Tribolium castaneum: one gene and its partners. Each later gene encodes a partner of the first gene's protein in a complex. Links are inferred from orthologs where the notes say so. Each region holds a gene or a part of one and is shown in the gene's direction. Other genes may lie near its edges.

Region 1 (3,597 bases):
TGCCGTTAATGGACCACCAGTGTTACAATAAAGAATTTCAAGATACATTTCTTTCCTTGGAAAATTTAAACGAAAAATACCAAATACAGTTAAATCAAGAAATAAAACTTATGTCTAAGATAGTGTATTTATTTTTTGGGTTTTTTACAGATACGAACAGAGAGTACAACCATTTGTCGACGAGCATATACAAATCGTCTGATTACGACAGGCTAGCCTTATCGTTGATATCGCCGTTGCCCAACGAGCAAGATTTTGCCATAAACGTTTGTACTTTACTCTCCAACGATGGCAAACACACACTCAAACTCGAGAAACACCCGCGAATCGTCGATTATCTTTTGGCACATGCTGGTGTTTTTTGCCATAGTGAGTATTGCAGTTGGTGAAAATGCCGCTGAATTAATTGTGTAATAATTATTTAGGCTCTCTCCGACGTCTCTTCGTCCATAATTACTCGACGGTCAGAAAGCACCCCATTCACAATTTCTGGTCGGAAGTGCTCGAATCGAAGGAATTTTTGGATCTCACCGACGAAAACTCCGTCTTTATAAAATCCGAAAGTGTCGATAGTGGCGAAAGTGCGAAATCGGAAATCGTCGTGGAAAAATGTGATTCTGATAGTGACTGTGAAATAACGGATAATAAACGATTTAAAATAACCCCAAGTGATCGTGAACTGTTCTGTTTGGAACGCGGTCTCGGCACCCAAGACTACATCGGCCAAAGAGTGCTTCAAGTGACTACAATTTTAAGGAATCTCAGTTTTATCGAAGAGAACGTACCGATTTTACTACAAAACAAGACTTTTTTGCGGTTTTTGTTACTGTGCGCGTCGTCGAGATGGGGATATTTGAAGAATTTAGGTTTGGACATGTTGGGTAACATCGCGACGGATTTTTTAGTCAAGGATTATCCCAACGACAGATTCTCGGCGATTTTACTAAAAATCATCGTTAACGGTTTGAAGAGCGAAGATCGTGCGCTGTGTATTTCTTCCCTCGAAGTTTTAAATAAATTAAGCCAGAATGAACTGAACGAAGAAACGCTTTTGCGATTTTTAGAAGTTGACGTTTACGAAAAAGTTTGTTCGTTTTTAACGATTCACGATGTGATGTTACTCATTTACACTTTGGAGTGTTTGTATTCGTTATCGTCGCTTGGGGAACGTTCCTGTAATTTAATTGTGAGCAATCACGGCGTGGTTGACACTCTTGTGTCTTTAGTAACAGTCGAAGGGAAAAGTTACGGACCGAAAGCCTGCATCGGAATGAAATTAGTAGAGACACTGCCTGGTGGCGTTAGCACAACGGCAAGTCAAGCGATAACGACACCGGTCGCCACCACGACAAATTCGACTGTTGCGAGCACCTCGACGACTACGACGGCCACCAGTGCGGTTTTATCGACGATTACGGCCGTCAAAACGAGTGTGCAGACGACGCCAGTGAGGACGGTACAAATTACGCCTCAGAGGCTTTTGACTATAACGCCGAGTTCCTCAACCGGTACGTTTAAACACAAGCAGGAAAACTATTTAAATAGAGAAAAACGCAGAAACTGGTTATTTTATTATTTAGTAGAATTGATACAGTTGTAAGACAAGGAAACGACTACTTTAATATTTTTTGTAAAAGTCGTTTGTCTATTCATATAAAATTGGTTTATAGAGAATTGGACTGGTTTACAATAAAACCAGTTTCAAATTTGAATGTAGCCGATTTCTTTTTATTTTTCGTGGTTTTTTAACGATGTTTTAGTCAGGAAAATGTACAGAAGCCGAGTTAAATTCGATAGAAAAAAATAACGTTTGGAGATTCTTCTGCCAATTTTTCCAATTTTGGAACGGCTTTCTTGCCTTAATACTGATGAGACGATTTTTTACGAACAATTTGATTATTGTCAGCCACTTGTTAAGTTATGTTATTTAATCATTTACATAGCGAAGTCACTTTTCATGTTTCTGTGCAAAGTCAATATTGAAAAATAAATATTTAAAAATTGGTGTGTTCACCTGAAATAATTTTTAGTAACGACGACTGCTACGACGCCCGCACAGACCATGACCCCCCAGCAGCTGATCCAGCAACAGCACGCGCACCAGCAGGCCATCCACGAGAACGAGCAGTTTGCTTTAGCGTGGCTGAGGGCCACGTACGAGCCCTGCGTGAACGGCAAAGTGGATCACCAGGAGTTGTACAAACAGTATCTGAATTCGTGTTCGAAAATCGGTCGACGAGGGGTGATTTCACCCTTGCATTTTCCGAGATGCGTTAGGTGAGCTGAGGCTGATTAGTCGAAAAATCGCGATGTTTATTTGTGTGGTGTGCTGCAGGTCAGTATTTGGCGGGACGGTTGGCCCGAATCCGATGAAGCCGTCCAGCGCGAACGAGCCCCAGTATTATGAAGGGATAAAGGTGCGAGCTCAACCCCTCATTATTAATATCCAACCGGCTTCCACCACCAATCCCGTCACCACCACCCCACCACCACAGCCCACTAAAGGACCAAACAGGCGAAATAAGCAATCGGCCGCAACAAGTCCCTCACAAACGCCAACTTTGACGGTCATGGCCGACAATAGTAATTCCAACGACACTATGAATAACCCACCCGTCTCTCCCGCCTCACCTATCCTCAAGGCGCAGCTAAGTGCTCCCCCCAAACAGAGGGACGCCACTGTGGCTTCGCCGCCCACTAGTAAAGGCGATATGAAAAGTCAGGTAATTGAGAGGCACAAACGGCTGTCCGTACTTTTCATTTCATTTCTATCGCTGTTTCTTCCCTTTATAATAATTTCTAACCTTCCCCTAACACATATCATCAAATATAATTGATTTTTTCCCCTGTTTGATTGGAGTTTTTTGGCATTAAGGTAATGGCACATCCGCATTTGAGCCAAGCTTTATTGGGCAGCAATTCAGCGCAGACGACCGCCGGCTCAAGCAAAGATAATCAGGCAGGTCAAAGCAACACGTCACTCATCAAAAGCTTACTGGCCACAAAGGTAAACGATTGCATGACTACAGTGAGCATGAGGACTGCAACAGACTGCCAAAATGTAGCTCAGGTAACACACTAATCAAATTAGCTTAATAAAAACAAAACACGAGAAAGAAATAATTAAGGAAACCACGAATCTTTCCTTAACTATTTACAGCCTCAAGTCTTTAATTGCGTTTTTCAAGTACGTCGCATGTTTTTAGTGTTTTGTAATAAAATTACTAACAATTTCTATTAATGTGTTTATTTTGTTACTAATACGACTCGAATAATGCTTATTGTGTTTTTCTAGTAATTTTATATAATTACGTCGTATTGTGAGCAGGGCGACCCATCTAAAGCTGGTCTTTCTATTATAATTATAATATTATTAGCTATTTTTATAATATGCACTCGTATTATGATCGGTAAAAATAATAAACTCACATTTTAGCGGGCCATAAGTGGAAAAGATTAAATACACTTACCTTGCCCTCTCATCTCCATACAGCGAACCTACTGAAATTGAAAAAAAATCACAATAAGTACAATGTGTCAATCAATTACTTGAAAATATTACAAATTTAAAATAAATAAATAAATAAATAAATAAAT
Region 2 (4,377 bases), on another chromosome or scaffold:
TGTCCTATACTTGGCTCACAGATACAAAATTCCCATGGAAGGGGCCTGTGAGGCCTCCCTAGCATGTACCACTTGTCACGTTTATGTGAAAAGTGATCACGAACTTACGCCAGCTGAGGAAAAAGAAGAGGATTTGTTAGACATGGCGCCGTTTCTTAAAGAAAACTCTAGGTTAGGTTGTCAGATTATTTTAACCAAAGAATTAGAAGGGCTTGAGTTAGAATTGCCACAAGCAACGAGGAACTTTTACGTTGATGGCCACACACCAGCGCCTCATTAACCTTCTATTGTGTAAATAACGAGTTATGAAGTCAGCCACCAATTTATTTTAATAAAAAAGTGTTAAAAATTTATTTGTCTTTCTTGCTTGTCGGTTTTTGCGGCTTTTCAGTCTTACGACATTTCATTAAAATTATCAACAAGAAACCAACAACAGTCGCCGCTAAACCAATTTTCCACGCCATTGCGCTTTCCTTCAAATTAAGTACGATATTTTCGACAATATTATCACTGAAAAATTCCATTATAACACAAGAAGATAAATTGCAATTGCTTACAATGGCGTTTTAGGCGATGGTACTTTAATGGGAGTCACGTTTTTGTACCATTCTTGGGCAAAAGAAGTGAAAGACGCAACGTCGTACTTTTGGATTTGATATTTATACATTTTGCCTTGTCTGAAGCTAAAAAAATGTGTGAGAATTGAAACAAAATTGAGAAGTCAATTTACAGAATAAAAGTTGGGGCTTGGGAGACTCCAAATCGTGTGGCGGTAGCGGCCCCATCTGTCGCCTTATTGACTCGTGCGACGTTCATTCGTGTTTTTAATTGTGCCCCGACTGTCTCCCACCGGGCTTGAAGGCGGTGGCAATCGACACAGTCTGGGGTATAACTTTGAAAAAATTAAACAAAAATCTACAACCATTTAAAAAGACTTACAACATCACAAACCAGTCGCCTGTGGTAGCCCCACTGGCGGCCTGGGTTAAGTGTTCAAAAGTCTCATCGTTTAATTCCTTCACCACCGGTTCTTTATTGTTAACAAATGTGTGAAGAATTAGCTCTTCTGAAGGAATATCTAAAGCAAAATAAATGCGAATAAAATTGATTACGGTTAAATGTAGCAATACCATTATAAAGTAGAGGAATTCCATGTCTGAAAAACACCAAAACCGGCTCCTTCGTGGGGCTATACAGTCTTGTTAACTGGCTGTTAACGACTTTAACAGTCTCTCCTTCAAATGATTTAGAGAACTCTTCCTCCAAATTTGTTAAAATGTTTTCGAAGTTATCACAAAGTTCGCAATTTTTCGCAGCTGGAATTTTCGTTCAATCTTGATAGGAACGCAAAGTGGGGACTTACAAAACAGCGCAACCACATAAGTCTCACTTCTGATTAAGTTCATGAGATCATCATCCTGGATTGATTTTATTGCACCACAGTTACAAAAACTATTGAAAATAACGGACAGACACGACAAAATATACAAAAACCTACTCATTTTAGCTCAATAACCTCACATAACCCAAAACATTCAACAACACGAAAATCCCCCAGAATTGTCAACCATCAGCCATTTTGTTGACGAGTGATGCCGGTTTTTATTATCGATTTATGATTTGTGCACAAATGTGAAGTGCAAGGGTTTATTTGCAAAAACGGTGTGTTTTTGTGGACTTTTCCTTGTGTGATGATCAACTGAATCCAGGTTTGTCCAATTGCAACCATAATTAGCAGTTGTTTCATGATATTTGCCCAATTAGTGTAAGGCCATGACTGTATTAATTTTTACGGCCATTGATTGTGTTTTTCAATAATAAAAAATCAATTAACGAGATTTGACAATCGTACATTGTCAATAAGCTATTTCTGGCGCGTGTTTATGGTTACCGACGTCCGTGGTATTCCGTTTAGCGTTTGTTTACGACGTCATTTGACACAACAATTGGCGCTCATTTGAATTAAGACTTCTGTAATTTGATTTCTGTACGATTCACTACTTTAGTTAAATGTAGCCTTGGTTGAAAACCTTTTCAGCATAATGAGTAAAAGGCGTCGAACGAGTTCTATAGCCAGTAGGGGGCAAGAAGACGATTCTTTGGATAGTCTGGAGGCTTCGACTAGTACAGGACCTACGATGCGAAAGCGCAGCAAAAAACTAGATCCTGTAACAGGAAATTGCGAGTTTGTTCCACATTGTGACGCCTTGTTTTTAGATGGAACTTTGTCAACAATTGTACGATTCAATCCGCAATCACAAAAAAGACGACGGGACTCTTCTCTGCGATTCGTTTATTCGAGTACCGAAACGTAGACAAGAGCCCGGCTATTATGAGGTTGTTTCAAACCCGATCGATTTGTTGAAAGTGCAACAAAAACTGAAAACTGAGGAATATGAGGATATCGAGGATTTGCAGAACGATATCGAGTTAATTGTCAATAACACGAAAGCTTTCTATAAAAAGAATTCGCAGGAGTATCGCGACGCCATAGATTTGTGGGCCTTGTTTCTCTCTAACAAACACAAGTGAGTCCCGTTTTTAAATTAATTAACACTTAGCCATGTCTCAATTCAGACTACTTAATACCAAAGACGATGAACCCGAACCTAAGGGAAAAATCGTGTTAAAAGTCGGAAGACCGAGCAAAAAAGCCGGCACTCCGGTCGAAACCAAAGAACCTGAGCACTCTGAGGACACTTCAGAGAGTTCGAATTTCGACGACGATGTCAATTTATACGAGGAGCTGTTCACTTCAGTCATGACAGCGACCGATAATGAAAATCGGCCACTTCACACTTCTTTCCAGCTAATTCCCTCGAAGAAAAAATATCCCGAGTATTACGAAGTGATCGAACAACCCATCGATCTAAAAATGATTGCCACCAAAATCCAAACTAACGACTATTGCAGCTTGGCCGAGCTCGAGAAAGACTTGATGTTAATGTGCAAAAACGCCTGTTTGTTTAACGAACCCGGTTCGCAGATTTACAAAAACGCGAAAGCGCTGAAAAAGGTGAGAGCCGGGTTGTTTGTACCATTGACCCTTCAGTATTTTGTAGATAATTCAAAGTAAAAAAGCCGAGCTGGATCACATTAAATTAAGTTTGGGTAAAAGCAGCGAACGCATTAGGAATAAACGGTTAAGGGGCAGTACATCGCTATCTGCGGTCACTGCAGCCCTAAGGGACGACGAGTCGGACGCTGAGGTGGAACCAGAGGAACAGATGGACGATGAAGTAGCAAATCAAAGTGCAAAGTCGTTTTTTCAATGAATTGTTTCAGTCAATTGCTGATCCTCTTGATGTCGAAGATCCCCAGTGGCAATTGTTCGAGGCTGTGCGTTCAGTGACGAGTAATAGCGGAGTTTCCTTGAGCGAACCCTTCTGGAAATTGCCCTCGAAACGTTTCTATCCAGACTATTACCGCGAGATCAAAAACCCAGTCTCTTTGACTCAAATCAAACGAAAACTGACCAAGCACGCTTATGGCACCATAAGCGAAGTGGCCGGTGACATGACCATAATGTTTGAGAATGCGAAAAAGTATAACCTGCCGTCGTCAAGGTTGTATAAAGTGAGTTTGGTAACGTTTTCAACGTGAAATTTGAGCGAGTTTGTTCCAGGACGCTGTCAAGTTGCAAAAGGTCATGCAAATGAAAGTGCAAGAACTACTTGACATTGATCAGGTAACATACAGAGTCACTAACAAAAACCGGAAGGTATGCTACTGCACTGCTTATGTCTTCATTGCATTTATTAACTGTCGGGAGTTATTCATTTTGTGGGCGCTTACGTTGCTAACATCAGTCGGCTTGTTTCACTATTTTCCTAATCAGGCGTTTGAGTTGATGGTAATTGTTTAAATTTTTGTCTTTTTCAATCTTCAGGATACAGACAGTGAGGCAGATTCCGAAGTCGTTGTGCGCAAAAAGCCAGGACCTAAGCCAAAAAATACGCAATCGAGTGGCAGCACGCCACAAAGAGGGCGTCCACCGCGAGACCCAATCCCGCTAAAAAAACGTTTGCACGCTTTAGCGAAATATATGCTCGACTATACTGTCAGTTACACGTTTTGCAATTTTTTTTCTATTAGCCATTTTTCAGTGTGAGGATGGCCGAAAGCCCATGCTCGGCTTTATGGAAAAACCCTCGAAAAAATTGTATTCGGAATATTACGAAGTCATTTCGGAACCGATCGATTTCCTCGAAATTGAGCAAAAAATTCGCGCCGATCAGTACAGCTCCGAGAGTGACTTAGTCAAAGATTTTAAGCTCATGTTTTCGAACTGCCGACAGTTTAACGAGGAAAATTCGCCAATTTACGAGGATTCCCTCGTTTTGGAAAAACATCTGTTGGATAAAGTTGGGCATAGTG
Region 3 (4,307 bases), on another chromosome or scaffold:
AGATTCTTCCAAGAGGCTGAGACGAGGGACACCAACGATTCGAAACCTAGACTCATGCCAAGGCGCTGCTTGGCTCATCTCAGTCATGAAGTCACGCTCGAAATAGATTTACCGAGCATTTGCGGTATTTTTAGATTTTCTGGCGGAGAAATTGGCACAGGGCATAATTTTGAGGTTAGGTTGACGTCCCCATTTCTAGGGATTTTTATCTGTCACTAGCATTCCCAAGCGGGAATTCTGGTCACCAACAGAAAATCAACGACAGAAAAGACATTTCTAGAAACATTCACGTTTCTAGAATTTTACATTTTTAAATTAATACCACTAATAGTCTTCATAATTGTAAAACTAATGGTACTTTTCATTTTTTTATGTTCGTAAAAATAAAAAAGTTATGAGACCTCAAAGTCTCTCTAGGTGTGACGTCGGGCGGCACAATTGACTCAGCTGGTTAAAATTAACATGTTTCCAAAATTATTTCGCTGTTCCTCAATTTTTTCCATTTAGCTATTGCAGTCCTATATCTTTTATGAATGTTTAATGAACTATAACTAAATAAAATAAATAAAATTCAGAAATCTCACGTTATAAAACCGTTGGATATCAAAAAATGAGAACAAGACATCTTTAGAAAAACAAGAGAATCGTAATTTCATATCTTTGAAAACACTAGGTTTATAATTATAAACCACATCTACTTATTCATCGAACGTATCTTCAAAAGCATTAACAAATAAAGAAATTGTATTTCTGTAAATAACAAGTCGTTTGTAGAACACTTATTTTTTTACATATTTTTTTTTGTACAAAACATTCTGCAAGCATCGCTTGTTCTATAAATCATAAAAATTTCCATTAGTTAATGTTTTTAGTTTTTTTTAAATAAAATAATATTTTATTAATATAAATATTTCTCATTAATTAATATTTATTATTTATAAGAAATTGTAGAAAAAATCTGATAAAATTCGAAGGCTTACAGAAAGAAATAAAGCAAAAAAAATCACAAACGCTGATTTTTGTGTGATTATTTAAATGGATTATTATTGGTTATTAGTGATTCATTACAGTATCTCCTTAAACAAATTACTTCAATTATCACAAATAACACTTTCTTTCAATATTTATATCTTTTAAGTCAATAAAATTATCCGGAGATCTCAATACAATGCCGAAAGGAACAGTAGTGTGTAAATCGCCGTAAATGACCCAATACTTAACAGTTTTTGATTACGCAATAGATTAAATAACTCTTTGTAATCAAAAATCTTTTTCACTTTTTTATCAAAGTCCAACATAAAACACTTTATAATCACGAAAAAACGCAAAACCAAAGGCAACACTAGTATTTACCGGCATATAATTTTAAATTGACTCTCTCTAATGTAAAAAATTAACAGTACACACGCAGAATTGCTAAATAATCCATTAAATGAGCAATTACCAAAACTTGTTACTGTTTTCGGCAAGTACGACATGTCGTCACCAGAGGACGCCTAGTTAATGCATTTCTGGTGATTTCAGTTTTGTCAATTAGACTAGCCACCAAAAGTGTTTTTTTACGAATTGTTTGAATTAATTAACCCCAAGTACCATCTCGTGCAAAACCAAACGAAATAATGTGAATCGTGTCCTTGCTTTGTGTAATTTATGCCCGTATTTTCCATTTGAGTGCCCTGTTGACATTTGTTGGTGTCACCTAACCTCACAGTGTTAAAGGACGCGGCAAAATGGCCCTCCGAACATTCGGTGAAAAACCGATAACTTTCCAATTGGAGGAAAATGGGGAGTATTACTGTGTGGGCTCCGAGGTGGGGAACTACCTGCGCCTGTTCCGGGGTTCCCTCTACAAGAAATACCCCGGAATGTACCGCAGGTCAATCACAAACGAGGAACGCAAACGCCTCATCGAGCTGGGCTTGAGCCAGCACGTTCTGGCCAGCAGTGTCTCACTGCTTCGGGCCTCGGAAGTCGAGGATATCATTGAGGGAAATGACGAAAAGTTGGTTTGTTTTTTGGGGGTTTTGTTGTTATTTGTTGATTATTTAGGTATAAGGCTGTTTCGGTGCACACTTCGGACCCGCCGATGCCGAGGGAGAGTAAATCGAAGAAGTCGATGCAATGGGTGCCCTCACTCCCAAACTCCAGTCATTTGGACGCTGTGCCCCAAGCCACCCCGATTAATCGGAACAGAGTGGCGGCGAAGAAAGTTCGGACGTTTCCGTTATGTTTTGATGATACTGATCCAGAGCTGAATATGCAAAATGCGGCACAAGGGGAGTTGTTGGTCCCGATAAGGCTGGATATGGAAATTGAGGGGCAGAAGCTGAGAGACACTTTCACGTGGAATAAAAACGGTAATTTTTTGGGTTTTTCTAATCACAGTACGCTCTGCATTTGAAATAAAGTTGTAACTTTTACATTATTTATTCTTATCAACTTATTTTCGAATACTTATTAGCGCATTTTGATCTGAAATTTAATTCTTGAATAATTTTTAAACCTGCCACCAGTCATTTAAACTAATCAAGATTGCGTGATACGAGAAAAATATGTTGGCAATGACTGTAGTCTAGTAACTAAGGTTACATCTGTTATCTAAATTGACACCATATTGTTGATACTGGGTCCTGATTATTAACTACAAACTTGTAGTAAATGATAAATTTTTTGATAAAACGCATTTTTAAACACTTTTAATATGATTTATAACTTTTTTTGAGTTTAATTTAATTAAAACACGTCAAAAGATCATCTAAATATGTCGAAAATGACCTGAATTTGACACTCTTTAAAAACAGTTCCAATTAGATTAAAGTGTATGTTTTCTTTAAAGTGACTTTGCTTTTTTGTTGAAGCAAAACTTCATAAAAACGCTAAAAAATCATCTAAATATGTTGAGTAATAGCGTTATTTCCAGATTATTTTGCCTTTTTTTTATTAAACTTATCTTGTTTTTGAGTATGAGACTTACTTGTTCTTGAAAGTTTTGTCAAAAAATGACTAAATTAGGTCGAAATTGACGTTTTCTTCAGTAGTGATTTGGACACATTTCGTGAAAATGCACCGAAAAATCATCTAAATATGTCAAAACTTATGTCATTTTGACAATGTTTTCTCTTTTTTGAAAACTTTTTTTTTATTAAATACCCCGAAAAATATCTAAATATATCGAAAGTTACGGTTGGTTCGACATTATTTTAGTTTTTGTCGTTAGATTTATTTTTTTTAGCGAGAAACTGACTTTTTTGTAAAATTTTGTCAAAAATAAGCAAATTGAGATAAAATTGACGTCCTAGTTTTAAGAATTTCTGGTAGGTTTATTTGTTTTGGAGCCAGGAACTGCAAAGTTTCGTGACAGAATTAATCAAATGTAATGTTTTTTTTAACAGCTTAATTTCTTAAAATAATCTAGCTTTGTTTTTATACGAAATTGCATTAAAATGCGCCGAAAAATTTACTTTCATATTTTTCTTGCCTTTTTCATTAAGTAAGTAAGTAAGTTTTTGAGCGAAAATCTCCATTGTTTTGAAGAATTTTGTCAAAAAGCCAATTTAAATAAAAATTGAGGTGCTTTTTCAGTCTATTTAATATATTATTATTTATTAATTATTCTAACCAACTGTATTTCTGTTGAAAAATGTACTAAACACGCTCAAAAATGTAAAATAATTGAGTTTTAAGTTTAAAATGGTGATAAAACTCCCAAAAAATGCAAAATTATCACCATTTTTGACGCAGGTTAGTGACTTTTCGGCTTATTTTTGAGAAATTTAATAATAATAAAAGTGTTTTATTCTCCCATTTTTGTTATTTGATAATTGTAGAGTGGGCCCAAGTCCCAAACCTTTGTTTTTATCTATAGCCGACCTAATTTAAAGTTTAGACCAAGTAAATACCAACTCAAGAAAAAAAAAACTTTTTTTTTTTTTCAGAAGTTTCGTTTTTTCTTCTGTCTTTTTGTTTTTTAGTTCGAACATGTATTTGACTGTCATCCTTCATCATCAACAGAGTATTTTTTTTAATTACACAATATTTTGTGCATTGTTGTTAGTTTCGTAGTTTTTTTATTTTTATTATTTTTATATTTGTTGAAATCGGGATATTAGAAATTATATTTAGGGTTTCAATTACCAACTGTTAAACTTTTATAAAAAAAATTTAACAAGACGAAAATACAAAACAACCGTTGGGTATTTTTGAGAGACGATTTTTTAAAATAAAAAAAATAAAAAAAAATTGTATAAAAAATAATGTTTGGTGCTTTTGAGCGACTAGTTTTTGGTTTTTTTTTCAATATCAAAAAA

Evidence for each region.
Region 2: Bap170 (region 1) and polybromo share a complex: the UniProt entries of both Homo sapiens proteins name them as parts of the SWI/SNF-B (PBAF) chromatin remodeling complex. The link is inferred for Tribolium castaneum from reciprocal best matches to the Homo sapiens genes ARID2 and PBRM1.
Region 3: Bap170 (region 1) and Snr1 share a complex: the UniProt entries of both Homo sapiens proteins name them as parts of the SWI/SNF-B (PBAF) chromatin remodeling complex. The link is inferred for Tribolium castaneum from reciprocal best matches to the Homo sapiens genes ARID2 and SMARCB1.

The regions. Positions count from the first base shown.
Region 1 is NC_087402.1:3,512,555-3,516,151, reverse strand, and holds part of Bap170 (AT-rich interactive domain-containing protein 2), read left to right. Parts: intron 1-150; coding exon 151-369; intron 370-425; coding exon 426-1,508; intron 1,509-2,030; coding exon 2,031-2,277; intron 2,278-2,335; coding exon 2,336-2,723; intron 2,724-2,875; coding exon 2,876-3,070; intron 3,071-3,597. UniProt on the Homo sapiens protein: Involved in transcriptional activation and repression of select genes by chromatin remodeling (alteration of DNA-nucleosome topology). Required for the stability of the SWI/SNF chromatin remodeling complex SWI/SNF-B (PBAF).
Region 2 is NC_087397.1:6,258,056-6,262,432, forward strand, and holds the start of polybromo (protein polybromo-1), read left to right. Parts: upstream 1-1,567; 5' UTR 1,568-1,709; intron 1,710-2,016; exon of another isoform or gene 2,017-2,038; 5' UTR 2,039-2,042; coding exon 2,043-2,168; intron 2,169-2,217; coding exon 2,218-2,528; intron 2,529-2,577; coding exon 2,578-3,016; intron 3,017-3,062; coding exon 3,063-3,239; intron 3,240-3,285; coding exon 3,286-3,576; intron 3,577-3,625; coding exon 3,626-3,721; intron 3,722-3,889; coding exon 3,890-4,060; intron 4,061-4,106; coding exon 4,107-4,377. Other genes in the region: Fdx1 (adrenodoxin-like protein 1, mitochondrial), read left to right, coding at 1-280; thioredoxin domain-containing protein, read right to left, coding at 351-510, 558-683, 731-892, 940-1,078, 1,131-1,316, 1,364-1,502. UniProt on the Homo sapiens protein: Involved in transcriptional activation and repression of select genes by chromatin remodeling (alteration of DNA-nucleosome topology). Required for the stability of the SWI/SNF chromatin remodeling complex SWI/SNF-B (PBAF).
Region 3 is NC_087401.1:13,705,538-13,709,844, reverse strand, and holds the start of Snr1 (SWI/SNF-related matrix-associated actin-dependent regulator of chromatin subfamily B member 1), read left to right. Parts: upstream 1-1,504; 5' UTR 1,505-1,730; coding exon 1,731-2,002; intron 2,003-2,049; coding exon 2,050-2,357; intron 2,358-4,307. Other genes in the region: PIG-L (N-acetylglucosaminyl-phosphatidylinositol de-N-acetylase), read right to left, coding at 1-56.